Notamacropus eugenii: one gene and its partner. The protein of the gene in region 1 purifies or fractionates together with the protein of each later gene. This does not show direct contact. Links are inferred from orthologs where the notes say so. Each region holds a gene or a part of one and is shown in the gene's direction. Other genes may lie near its edges.

What was found.
Region 2: the proteins of PRKAR1A (region 1) and DYRK1A purify together in Homo sapiens (affinity purification with mass spectrometry; 6 studies listed by BioGRID and IntAct, with this or other methods). This does not show direct contact. The link is inferred for Notamacropus eugenii from reciprocal best matches to the Homo sapiens genes PRKAR1A and DYRK1A.

What each region holds. Positions count from the first base shown.
Region 1 is NC_092873.1:331,704,481-331,711,761, forward strand, and holds the start of PRKAR1A (cAMP-dependent protein kinase type I-alpha regulatory subunit), read left to right. Parts: upstream 1-4,186; 5' UTR 4,187-4,738; exon of another isoform or gene 4,739-5,145; intron 5,146-5,239; exon of another isoform or gene 5,240-5,619; intron 5,620-7,281. UniProt on the Homo sapiens protein: Regulatory subunit of the cAMP-dependent protein kinases involved in cAMP signaling in cells.
Region 2 is NC_092876.1:420,706,445-420,713,446, forward strand, and holds the start of DYRK1A (dual specificity tyrosine-phosphorylation-regulated kinase 1A), read left to right. Parts: upstream 1-3,914; 5' UTR 3,915-4,044; intron 4,045-7,002. UniProt on the Homo sapiens protein: Dual-specificity kinase which possesses both serine/threonine and tyrosine kinase activities. Exhibits a substrate preference for proline at position P+1 and arginine at position P-3.

The sequences.
Region 1 (7,281 bases):
ACATTTGGTACTAGGGGAGTGATATATTTAAAAAAAAAAAAAAAAAAAAGATTGGAAGGGATGGCTTTCTCCTTGCTTTTATCTACTGTCTATAGGCAGCTGCAATGTGAGAAAAAGGCTTAGGGCTTTCGTTAGGGCTTTGTTAGGGCTACTGAAAACCACAGCCCTCTTGTCATATATTTCAGCTTCGCTGCCTCCCTGATCGTGGTAATACCCTCCACTCTTGGTTTCAAAAACTCCATATTCTCTTGGCTCTCTCCCACTTCTTTGTCTGATCAGTGTTTCATTCACTCACTCTTCTTCTTCCTGATAATCTCTTGTGGTGCTTATTAAGTCTTGTATTGACTTTTGCACATATTACTTCCAAAGCTCTATCTCTAGCCTTAACTTCTCTCTAAGGGTCTAGACCTGTATCTTTATTGTTTATACAGTTTCTTTGGCTTTCCCACTGGCATCTTCAACTTCACATGTCCAAAAGCAAGCCTGTCATATTTCTGCAAGAAGCTGATCCCTCATTTTATCTTGTTGTAGTTGTTGTTCATCTTTTGTTTTTGAAGAGGACCAATGACATCACAGGGGATATCTTGACTTTTTATGTGAATCAGATTTAAGTGAGGTAGAGTTGCACAGTCATCAGCCTTAGTCTCTCTTTCTGAGTCACCAGAGTCTAATTCTAAGACAAAAGTCAAGATGACTGGTGATGGCCCAGGTTGCAGTAGATGCCCTTGGTGTCTTTGATGCCTGATCAAGCTTTAAGTGCTTGGCAGTGCCTGCTTCAGCTACCTTCATGGTCCTTGGAACAAAATGTTCTCATCTGCCCATTCTGTCTGGGAAAGTCTTCACATGATAGAGGTAGTATTTCCAACAATAGAATTGCCATTTATTCAATCACTGATTTAAAAGCCTTGGGGTTATCTTTGACTCTTTCATCTCTCTCACACACAAATTCAATCAGTTGCAAAAATCTTATTTTTTTTCCTCCACAGCATCTTTCACATCCTTTCCCTGTTATACACTGATATAGGACATCCTCATTACCTGTATGGATTATTTACTTTTTCGCTTCTCTGATTCATCCTTCCCAGTATTGTCTTGCTCTATAACCATTCTACTATTGAGTGGGATGATTTTCAATATACTTTCTTTATTGGGGGTGTGTGTGTTGTGCAATCAAGGTTAAGTGACTTGCCCAGGGTCACACAGTGAGTGACTCCAGGATCAATACTCTATCCACTACACCACTTAACTTGCCCCTCAATATACTTTCATCTTCATTGGAAATTTATTTGAGATTTGAACCTTGATATCTATTTGCATGAAACTTGATTTATAATTTTTATTAATACTCAAGATAAATCACCCAGCACTTGCTACTTTCAGTTCCTCTCCTCTTTCTCCTTCCTGAAACCTCTGCAGGCTGGCTTCTGGCTTCTCACTTCATCACTCAAGTGAAACTGTTCTCTCCAGTTACCAGTGCTTGCTTAATTGCCAAATCTGATAGCCTTTTCTCAGTCTTCATCCTTCTCAACTTATCTGCTGCTTTTGACACTGTTTACCACCCTCTCCTCATAGATAACTCTCTCCCCTCTGGGTTTTCATCATACTATTATTCTCTCCTGGTTCTTATTCCACCTGCTTGACTAGTCTTTCTCTGTCTCCTTTATAGGCTCATCATCCACATCATATTCTCTAGCTGAGTGGCTTAATAAATGCTTCTTGAGTGATAGAAAACTGTTTCCCATAGGAATCATAAGATCATATAATTCAGGGAATTCTACAAGGGACCCTAAACTTCACCCAGGCCAATCTCTCATTCACATTAGGGAAGAAAAAACTAGGGTCCACAGATATGTAATGGTTTGCTGAAGATCACACAGTGGTGGCAGAGCCATCTTGAACCCACGTCCCCTCATTTCCAAATTTATTCTCTTTCCACTACATGCAAGTCATGGTAACATGTAATTTGAATGTTTCCTAAGGGAAGGCTGTGTTTGAAATCTGCAAAATTGGGGGTAATTTGAATATCTTTGGTTCCACGAGAGGCAAAACATTCAGCATGACTGAATAGTACAAACAGGATAGAATTTGTCTTAATTGCTCTCATTGGAAGTCTATGAGTTTGTCCTTGGTAAAAAACAATCTTAAATACAATGAGACCCAAGATATAGGCTTTTAGGGGCTTTGTTTCCTTTAATTTTATTTCTCAGCTTCACTGAGATTTCACTTACGTTTGCTAGATTTATTCAAGGAAATAGGGAAAGAAGCTTTGGATGAAGAACAGTAGACATTTGGACACTGAGGAATCTTACACTGAAAGCATAATATGGCAAAGATTACATATTGTGATATAAGAACATCCATTGAGAAATGTCATATATAATCCGGTATTCACCTATCTGGAGTTATCAAGGGGGAATTTATATAATTTATAAGCCATCATGACTTAAAAAAAATAAATCACCAGCTGCCTCAGTAAACCCCACCCAAATTCAGCTATATGCAGCTTCTCTTCCTGTTTTTTTTTTTCCCAACTCTCCAGTAAATATGGATTTGGCATTTGGAACAAAGCTAATACTATTGACAGAGAAAACAGTATGGTTCTTGCCCTTGGTTGGAATGGTGCCTATAGTGCAGATGGGTAGGAATAAAAACCTCATTCTTTATTGAGTAAGCAGCTGTCACTCAAATAACAGGAGAAAATGTTTAATATTCCCAATTTACTGTCTTTTCTCTGAGGCTGTCTCATCAAAATATTACATCAAAACCAAACATGGCACAGAGCCCACATGGTCCAAAAAGGGCATAACCTTGTAGCTTGGGTGACCCTTTAGCTTCACAGTATCCTGTTCCCTTCTTTTGCATGACAGCTGAGGGCATATTTATCAGTCCCTTCTTTCTTTGCTCTTAGGTGTGAAATCCTGTGTGAAAGAAGCTGTCTTTATCCTACCATTCCACTACACCAGGCATGCCACAGAGTAAATGTCACCTGTGATGTTCATCACAGAACACCCTTGGGAGAGAGACTTCCAGCTACAACCCTCTATAGCATTTTGCTATCTTTTCATTTGTTCAGTCTGCTTTTTTGCCTTTGACTGTGCTTGTCTTAGCTATCAGATATAAGAGGGACAATCATAAATCAAAAAAAATCCTTTGTTTATTTGTCTCTTTCCTGTTAGAACACTCATGGCTCATTCTTTTGGTTCTGCAGAAACACATGTGAAAAGAGAACAGAAGCATACAGCAAAATCTATGTGCCTACCAGTAAGATTTAATTAAAGTCTTAAAACAATCCTTCTGAAACAACTTCCCCATTTTTTCCCCTTGAAAGGAAGAATCAGATCAGTAAGAAATGATCAGAGGTATCATTTTGTCCTTGAATTTATTCCTGCCTGTCTCCCTCATTATTATAGTTTTGCAACCGAGCTTGGAGAGAAATTTCGACATGAAGTTGTGAGAGATGATTAGATTATGTGTTTTAAAAACAATCCAGTTTCTAGGATTCTGAAATAACGGTGAAGGTAGCTTTTTTGGTAAGATTTCTTTTTCTCCCTTTCTGTCTCCCTTTGTCAAAATTGATGACCTAAAGGGAGACTGACTGGTTTTTCCTTCAGTGCCACAGTCAAATGACATAATATGCTTTAGGGCAACATATAAATATGTGCTGGAAGCTTAGTATGTTTATTCTTTAAAATTTTTACTTAAGACTTATAATTTCCTTCATAATCTTGGCCCATCAGCTTGTGAGCATTCTCATTGAATCACAGATCCCAGGATGATGGACTCTCCTCTACAACAGGAGCAAGGAGTTCTCCTTTGTGTTCAAATCCAAGACTTAAATATGTTTTATTTCAGGACCCTGAGAGGTCTTAAATGCAGTATATGACAACCTGGAGGAAACTGGGCTACGAGAAAAAGGTGAGGCAATAAGGTGTCAGAGGAAAGAGCACCTATACTGGCGTCAAATCACCTACACTTGAAGCCCGACTCCCACGGCTGGAATTATGACCAAGCTATTTCGTCCCTAGGAAAGCAGTTTCAGTCTCCCGTCTTTATTTGAACTCAGTTTCCCCGTCTGAAAACTGATGGGGCTGGGCTAGATGGTGTTCTAATTGAGCCTCCCAGCCCATGCTGCCAAGAGGCTCCTGGGCAGGGAGCGGCCAGGTCGGGACGTGCCACCGCAGCTGCCAGACACTGCAGCATTGCCATGGCAGCAGGGCTTTGCCGCATCCACTGCCGCAGCCTCAGCCGCAGCCGCCCGGGGCCTCAGGAACAGCACGAAACCTTCCCCCCAGCCCCCCTCTCCAGCCCCACCCCGCACAGGGGCTGCAGAGAAAGAGGGCGCAGCTGCAGAGGCGCCTCCCCACCCCCTCCTCTCCGCCCACGTGAGGAGTCTGGGGCTAGGAAAGGGGGAGACAAGACCGACTAGTCAGAAGAGGCGGAGGAAAGGAGAGGAAGAGGACGAGGAAGGGAGTGCAGCAGAGGCGACAGGAGGAGCCCGACGAGAAGAGGTGGAGCTCGGGCAGACCGAGAGACAGGCGGACGGACGGAGAGGAAGAAGGAGACAGGGAGGAAAAGGGAGACCGAGGCAGACAGTCTAGCCTGAGGGACAGTCTGGACGCGTAGCGTCTAGAACGAGACCAAGAGAAAAAGAGAGAGGGAAAGAAAAACATATATATAAAAAGAGAAATAGAGAAAGCAAGAAAGGAGAGCCACAAGAAGAAAGATTGTGGACGAGCAGGTGAGAGGGTCGGGGGTCGGGAAGGACCCGAAAAAGAAGGGGGGAAGAGAGGAGGAACGGGGGAAGGCTGCAGAGTAGGACCAGAGGAGAAAGGGGCCAAGGCTAGAAGGGTCCCTGGGGAAGGGGGTGGGGTTCGACAGAGAGGGACTTTGAAGGGGGGAGGGGCGCTGGTTTCCCCTTTAAGGTTGCCTAGGGCAACCACCTTGACCAGACCGAGGCCCATTGACGTCAGTGATCTTGCTGTGATTGGTCGTGGCTGGTTAGTTTCCGGTGGGAGGGGGGAGCTTTCAGGCTGTCGAGAGCACCTGAGAACCGCCACAGTGGAGGGGGGCGACGCAAAACGTGTTCAAGACGGCTCCCAGCCGCCCACTCCTGGGACCTCTGAGCATGCGGTTGCCAGCACGTCGGTAAGTGGAGCGTGTCCGGGGTCCGGCCTCGGTCGCGCTTCGCTGCCGGGCCGATCCGTTTTGTTGCGGCTGGAGGGATCCAAGATGGCGCCTCGCGGAGCGCTCTGGGGAAGGGCCGCACCCACCCGTTCTTTCCCCTCCCCCTTCCCCGCCAGGCCTCCGGGGCTGCGCCCGCCCCCCGCCCTCGCTGCTGTATTCTGTAGCCCTCCGCCACCAGACGAGAAGCATTCACCTTCGGTTCCCTCCGCCTACAAATCGCACCCCTCCCTTTTCGGCTCGCGCGCGCCCTCCCCTGGCTCCGCCCATCCCCGAGCCCCCTCCTTCCTCGTTCCTGCGGTTCTCTGACCCCCACCTCCCGATGCTGAGAGAGAAGAGCATCCGAATCTGATCCAGTACAATAAAATATGTGAAAGTGGTCTGCGAGCTTTCAAATGCTATACATCTGATACCTTTCAGTGTGGTTGAGAGACTGAGGTGAGATATTGGTTAGGGGGCTTTGCAAACCTTCAAGCGATATATAAATGTTAACTATTATGGCTGTTATTATTGTTACAATCGTATGCTATTATTCTTATTACCCGTTCCTCTAACACAGATCCTAAACAAGTCTTTGTTAATGAAACTCCCCTGACGGCATTTTGTTTTAACTCCACCCCGCTTCTTGTCATCTAATGCACCTTCTTCTCCTTTTTCCCCCCATTGAGCAGTATTTCCCTCCTCTTCCTTTGTTCTTCACCTACCTCTAAACCGGGTTTACACATCTCTCTGCTCCTGCCTTCTCCCTTCCCCCCCCATCTCTCTTTTCCTCTACTGTTGTTGCCTGCCAGCTACTACTGGAATGGTAATTTGGCCTCCCCTTTTCATTCTTTTCCGGAGTCCCTGTGGGCGTAAATGAAATGAAATGCAGTATTCTGCTGTTCCTCAAAACTAAACCAAACCAAAAAACCCAAACTGATGCGTGGTTAAATGGCCCAGGTTACAGTCTTGATTCTCCTGCTACGGGCGTAGTCTTGAACAATTCTCTTGAATGTCTCTATCTCCCCTGCCCCACATGAAAGTAGGAACACATTTTTTCCTTTTGGGAGTAATTTATTCTCATCTGGAGTCGTAACAAAAGCACAGTTCGTTTTATACAGGAAAAATGGTAAGATCCCACAATAGTTACAACGTAGCTTTTGTGTAATGGCTACAAAATCATTAGTTTACTTCCATTGTAACGCTGTGCCCCTTCTCCCTCAGGCTTCTGTTTTTTAGCATCGGCTCAGCCTTTGGTAGGCTGCCTTCTTAATAGGTATTGTTCTGAACCAGAAAGATTTTGTCAAAATAAGATGTTAAATCTCTTATTTGACAGAAAACCATTTAAACTGAAGAGGTATTGCTGCTGAATTTCTGAATAAACGAAGTTTCGGACACAAGTAATACCCATATGAGCATGGCAAGCTGTAAAACAACCACCACCAAAACTTTAATTTTGTGCTATTATGGAAGATTCAAGAAGTTTGTCTTTAACATGAGAACTTCATTTCCAAGCAATATATCTTCAGCTTGGCAAGAACGTTTCTCTGTGTCAAAATGGAGGCTAACCCAAGCAGGAAAGCTGTTAACCCCACTAGGCAGTGCTCTAGACTGAGAATCACAAAGCAGGGATTGCTAACGGCTTGAAATGCAGTATCTAGAATAATTAGCCTTTTGGGGGAGCTTTTGTAGTTCTAGAGTCTTAAAAATAAATCTTTCCAATCAGGTGATGGCACATGTTTGGGTTATTCAGAGATTCAAGTGATTTCAGATTTTTTCTTCTCATTTTCTTGTGGTCTCTTGGTTCATTATTAGAGGCCTCAGTTTCCTTATCAGTAAAACAAAGGTGTTGGCCTTGATTACCTCTGAGTTCCCTTCTAATCCATGATCAGGTGTTTTAAAGCATTGTGCTGCTATTGTGATTTGACTCGGAAGAGTCAGGGTTGATATTTATAATTTAATGTGTTTTTATAGTGATAACTTTTGTCATATATACATGAAATGATTTCAGACTTTGAAAGGTAAAGGATCTAATTTAACTCTGCAGTTGCTGGTTTTCTTGATTTCTTGACATGCAGAGTCACTTCCCCTAGTACTTGTAAATAAGAGTGAACCCTTATT
Region 2 (7,002 bases), on another chromosome or scaffold:
TATTCTAAGATCTTGACAACTGGTCCCATCAATTTCTGACAAAGGGAGAAGAAATGAAAGCAGTGTCAGAATTTATACACTTGAGTTCAAAGATCACTGCAGATGGTGACTGCAGCCATAAAACTAAAAGACACTTGCTTCTTGGAAGGGAAGTTATGGCAAATTTGGACACCATATTAAAAAGCAGAGACATCACCTTGCCAGTAAAAAAGTTCATGTAGTCAAAGCTATGGCTTTTCCACTAGCAATGTATGGTTATGATAACTGGAGTAAAAGAAAAGCTGAGTGCTACAGAATTGACACTTTAGAATTTTGGTGCTGGAATACACTTTTTGAAAGTTCCTTGGACAGCAAGGAGATCAAATCAGTCAATACTTAAAGAAATTAATTCAACCTATTCATTGGAAGGTCAAATACAAAAGCTAAAGCTTAAATACTTTGGTCACAATGAGAAGATGGGACTCATTGGAAAAGACCATGATGTTGGGAAAGATTGAAGACAAAAAAAAGAGAAGGGAATGACAGAGAATGAGATAGGTAGATAGTATCATAGAAATAATGAACATGAGTTTGAATAGATTTTAGGAGACAGAAGAGCCTGTTGTGCTATGGTCTGTGGCATCACAACTGAGTGCCTTAATAACAACAACCACAGCAATCATTTATGTAGGGAGACAGCAAAATTTTTCAGTCAATCAAAATACAGCCGATAGCTGTGGACAGTAAAGGCAGGAGTGGAGTGAGTGGAAAGGCTTGCCTTCTTAGCTTACCATTTTTCTGATCAAATTCTTTTGCATATTAAATCAGATAGGTTAGAGAGTGATTAGCTAATGGAAGGTTGAGATCTCCACTTATACATAGGTTTCGAAAAGAGACCTGGAGGTATTCAACTTGGCTTTTGTTAGCTGGTAAGATAATTTCAGCTGAGATGACCGGTTGGTGGCCACCAAGAATCCACCAAGAGGAGGTGAGAGTGACAAGTCCAGTGAGAGAAGCAGTAAGACTCCATCTTCCAGAACCAATTAATATTCCTAAAGAGCAAGTTTGTCCATATCATCCTATCCCCTCCCCATTCAATCAACTACACTAACTCCCTTTTGTCTCCTGGAACAAGTTACAAAATCCTCTGGCTTTTTAAAGCCCTCCATAACCTGCTCATTCTTCCTTTTCCAGTCCTTTTACTCTTTACATCCCTTCATGCACTCTGTGATACACTTTGCTGTTGCTGGAACTCCATCTCCTGACTGCACATTTTCACTGGCTGTCCCCCATGAGTGGAACTCTTTTTACTTATTGCTGCCCAACATCCCTGGCTTCCATCAAATCTCAGGCAAAATCCCATCTTCTGCAAAAGGCCTTTCCAATCCCCTTTAATGTTAATGTCTTATCTCTGTGGATTATCTCCAGTTTCTCTTGTCTGCATCTTGTTTGTCTTCCCCATTAGACTGTCTTTAGTTCCTTGACAGCAGGGACTGTCTTTGACCTTTCTTTGTATCCCCAGTGCTTAGCATAGTGCCTGGTACACAGTAAGAGCTCAATAAATGCTTGTTGAATCATGCCAACAGGAGAAATTCATGGTCCTGCAGCATGAGAGGTTCAAGTTACCTTCTACACGTTCCCCTTGTGTGTGTGTGTGTGTGCGCGTGTCCATTCTCCCCAATGATACTGTATCTATATTTTGTACCTTGAAATCGTAACTCGGCATGTGACTTTTAAATGTCTTTGCTTTGAAACAATTGTATCCTATGGCTGGCTAAAGAAAAGGTAAGTGTATCCGTGGATATTTTAACCGCAAGTAGACTCGCTGAGAGGGATAGGTTTTCTCTTGCGAACACACACCACACACACACACACACACACACACACACACACACACACACACACACACACACACACACACACACACACACACACACACACACACACACACACACACACACACACACACACACACACTGTGTCAGTGAATTAATCTGGGTGGTCAGAAGCAAGGGCATTCTTGGCTTGCTTTATTCAGATCTGACTATGCAGAAGGCACCAATTATGAGCCCAGCTCCAGGTTGAGACTTTCATCCCTTCCTGGGTCATATGCCTTTAAAAAAGCATACCGGGACAGCTCGCTTTCACCAAGTGGGGCACACGAAATACTCAGGTAAGTGGACGAGAAAGGAAAAAAACCCAGGGTTCCCCCGTGCCCCCCTTCTGGGGGACGGGGTTTCCCGTCCTGGACGCCGGTCCTCAGGCTGCTGTCGGCGTGACACTTCCACGTGAAGACTGCAGAACTCCGGGCTCCAACGCGGGTCTCCCGGCCCCGCTTCTTGGTTAGGGCGCCCAGGGCCGGCCCGGGGGATGGCTTCTCTTCTCGGAGGTGAGTGCGGCGGGCGGGGCCGCCAGGGAGGGGCACGGGGCACGGGGCACCGGACTCCGGAGGCTCAGCTAGTCTTCCCCGTCTCCACCCCCGCCTCCCAGTGCCTGCAGTGGGGCCCTCCCCGAAGCTGCTGTGCATTATGGGGAGGACGCCAGACTCTAGTCCGGTGGGTGGCAGCTCTCCAGATTTCTGGTGGCCAGCCTCGTTTGGGGCGGGGTTTGGGAATGTGTGTTAGATGTGTGTGTGTGTGTGTGTGTGTGTGTGTGTGTGCGTGTGTGCGTGTGTGTGCGCGTGTCTGCGCGCGCGTGGAGCCAGAATCTCTTTCTCCCTCTACAAATGCAGCACTTAGAAATACAAAAATGGGATCCGCTCCCTCCTCCCTCCTTCTCTGCTTTCCCCACCCCATCACACCTCTAGTCATCCTTCCCTTCTTCTCCTTCCTTCCTTCTGCCCCCTCCCCAGAGTGAATCACGCGCCCTCCTCTGACACTTGGCAGCAAAACAGCGCCGAATTTATCCTTCACGTGACCGAAGGGGGTTGGGTGGTTGGTGGGGGGAAGGGAGGCAGCCAGGAAAAGGAGGGAACGGAATTCGCCGTTACCCCGGCGACAGGCCCCGCCCGCCGGTTTGGGGAAGTGGGGTAGGAGGAGGACGTCAGCACGTCAGCCGGGGTTTTGCTGTTTGATTGACAGTTGCCATAGCGACCGGGTCGGTCAGTCGCCATTTTGTTGGTAGGGTTTTTTTTTAAACCCTTTCGCTTCCCGCCCGAATAATAATAAAAAGCTCCCTGGGAGTGAGGTGGGGGCGGTAGCGGCAACTGCGGCGGGGGAATCCGGGAGGCTGCTGCGGTGGCTGCGGTGGATCAGGCCCAGGCCGGCGCGGGGAGCGGACACCTCGAGCTGGGGGTGCGGGTGCCACGGGCGCTGCTGTTCCTGCTACTACTGTTCCTGCTGCTGCTGCCGCCGCCGCCGCTGCTGCGGGAGAGACCGGTGTGTGTGTGAGTGTGTGAGTGTGTGAGAGTGCGAGTGTGTGTGTGAGAGTGCGAGTGTGTGTGAGCGTGAGAGTGAGTGTGGGTGAGTGTCTGTGAGAGAAGGGGAGAGAGGAGAACTAGTGTGAATGTGAGTGTGTGCGCGCGTGTGTGTGCGTGTGTGTGTGCGTGTGCGTGTGTGTCCGTGCTAGGAGGATCTCTCGGGGGGCGGGCGGCTAGGACTTTTCTGGCGGATAAGCCGCCGCCGCCGCCGCCGCCGCCGCCGCCCCGGCCCCGGCGCTTCTCATTGCGCAGGTTTGGAGCGCGCGCCATTTTGTGAGATTTACAAAATCTTACTCGGAAAGGAGCCGGGAGCCGCGGAGACTGAGGGACCCCGGGCCGCGGCCGCCGGGGAGAGGCCGCCGCCACCGCCGCCCTCCCCGCCGCGCCCGGCCTCGCCCGGCCTAGCTCGGCCTCGCCCCGCCGCCTGACTGATCCTCCGAGGCCGGGGACTGCGGTATTTGCCGGGGAGGGGGGTTGTCGCCTTGCTGGTCTCTGGAGCCTGAGACGCAGTGGCCGGTGAGTGGAGCCGGGAAGTGCCGGGGGCGGAGAGAGGCGGCCGGGGCGGTGCTGGAGCCCGAGGCCCTCGGATGGGACCGTAACTGCGGGAAGCCGGGGAGCAGGAGCCGACATCGGCCGCCGTCGTCTCGGTGAGTGTCCGGAGCCTCCCTCCCCTCTCTGCCCCCGGCCCCGGCCGCAGGCCTCTCCCGGGCACTGAAGCCTTCCTTCCCCCCGTCCTAGGCCGGGCTCCCCAGCTAGGACTTGCAGTGACATACAGGGCGAAGGGAGAGGGAGGCCGCGTGTGCGTGTATAATAATTACATAGGTGTGCATGTATACGTTGGGGAGGAAACCTGCCATTTTAGAAAGAAGTGTCCCTGGTCCCGGTCCTGCCGGCGGAATCCCCCCCTCGTGGAGCCGGCCTGGGGAGGAGCTGCGGGTGCAGGCCTCTGCGAGGTGCAGTCGGAAACGGCTCCTTTTAGCGAAGTGGAGTGTGGGGTGAGTGGAAGTTAGGAGGAAGGACCCCGACTCCTGCGGATGGGGATGGCAGGTAGCAGAGAGAGGAGCCCTTGGTGCCCCCCGTGCTCCCCTTTTGTGGCCATACAGGGCTGGCTTCTTTTTATATCCTTGGGGTTGGAGAAAGTGCTGGGTCCGTGCAAGGGAAAGCTGCTTCAGCTGTGCAGAGAAGTCAGGAATTATTCAGCAGTGGACCCTTTTCCTTGTTAAAATGAATCCGCAAACATGGGTAGGTAGGCTGCAGTGAGAGGATGGAAACAAGGGCAGGTGGTGGAGGAGATGATTTTAAAAAAATAATAATCTTAATCTTTTAATCTGTTTGGGCTTTTAAAGTCAGGTAGTCTGTGGTACTCTAAATTCCCTGAAGTTAAAGCAAACTTGGCCTTTTGAGGTGGCAACTTAAATACCTGTTTAGCAACTGGAGAATTGGATGACAGAGAACATGTTTATCATAATGGACCCACAAAAGTTTTCAGATGTGGCTTTTAAATTTATGGACATAAACCCGGAGCCTGTTTGGAATTCAGCATTTTACCCCCAAAGTCAGTGAATATATTTCATATACAGAAAAGAAAAGGTCAGTGTCTCCATTCAAATTCCATAGTTATAAATAGCACCGTAGTAGGTGTCTATCTCTTAGCCAACTTGAGGTTCCACTTTATTCTTTCCTTGATCATCAGAATTCTCTGGTGCCAGACTTGCTTGATTCTTGCCTTACTCATCAGAAAATAGATATACCTTAAAAATTGACTTTACACTAACAATATTAAAGAACACTCCTGATTCTGCAAAAGAGTTCATTTGATACATAAGCAGCTGATTATAAGTAATAATGAATAGTGTAGCCATTTACATGTCATTACAGCTTTATGACTAAGGGGAAGTAGTGCTGTTAGCTTGTAATTGGCTCTATCGTTTGTTGAATTGGAAAGTGAAGGCTGAGATGATCTGGTGCCATTTTGTCCAAATTTATTTTAAAGAAATCTGTTAGAAGTATTTTTGTATTTGAAAACTATGTACTTCATTCACTGAAAACTCTTAATGCAGTTCTTAGCTTTTCTCCTCTATTTGTTCTATGTGGAATAACAGTTCAACAAGTATTCTGATTAGCTGTAGACCTTATTTGACTATTGATAACTATTCATATAGATCTGTGATCTCATCTTTTGGGACTTCAGTAATGCAGATCTCCATTCATCTATTCCTGGCTATCCTGAGTATCCATGGTTTCACAAAAGTTGGTCCTGGGGATCTACCCTGTGTGGTTGATGAATATAAAATGAATTTTGATAAACATAAGTTTGGTTTATTCCTTTAAAGTACCTTGCCTTTATCTGTGTACCATTTCGTAATTTGCATAATTAAAATGATTAAATATATTGGCATAAGGATATTTTTTAATGTAAGGAAGTTTTTGCTTTTACATACTTCTACATTTCTTTTCTGTTCTTTGGTTTAACAGATATAAAGAATGTTGATTCTAGGTAGACAACAGATTTCTGTGTAGCATAAGATTCATATAATTTTTATGTGTAGTGTGTGGATAGTGTCAAATACAGTAATTATGGGACTTAGTTATAGATAAAGTTTTAAAATACATAATGATTCTGAACTATTCAAACTAACCAATTTTTAAAAAAAGATTTGATGTTGGAATACAGTCGTTTTTATAACGACACTCTAGATGTACTCAAGACAAAAACTTTCTTACCAGAAAGTTTTCAGTGACTTGGGTCTATATTGCATCCTACATAGATATCCATGTGAAAATAGGTTATGACAGTTTCATATGTACTTATATTGATTTGTAAATTAACTAGAAAAATTAAAATAGAAAATATATTTGACACAGCATATATGTTACAACTTTTTACATCTTTAAAAATTTTAATATGTAATCTACTTTTTTGCTGCTCTTATTTGTTTTACATGATTTGCGACTGAGTTCACAAGATTTTGACACATACTTTAATTCACACTTAATCACATTTGATATTAAGTGTACCTTTACTGAACAGTCTGTTTTTCCAAGTCTGACCTTGATTACATCCCATAGATTTTTAATGGGGCTTAAGTCAGGCCAGTTGCCAGGCCATGACATTTGTTTATTACTTTTTTCTATTAAATAAAGTTCTTAACCATTAGTGACTATGTAACATGGTACAAAGTTACGTTGATAGTATTACAGCTACATTTAAGATGTTTGTAATTCCAGAACAATTCCGCTTCTCAGTATATCACTATATTAGTGTTTATAATTCTTTATAGAATTATAGAATATAGAATAGGGCCAAGACTTTCAGACCCATTGGAAGTTAAAAATCTCCAAAAAGACTTTTTGTGGGTGGATGTTTTCCAGATTGTGATCTAATTGCCCGGATCTTACCCAGGCTCACTTGAATTTCTTCTATTAAGAGTTGGTTTAGCTGTGATAGAAAAAATGGATTTCAGCAGTAAGAATTACTTTCCATTTATTAATGAATACCTCAGTTTTTGTATTGTTTTGCCTACCACAACCTTTTTTCCCCCTTCATGATCAGTTTTTTTTTCTCTTTTCAAAACTGGTCTTCTCACTGTTCTTCCAATGATAAG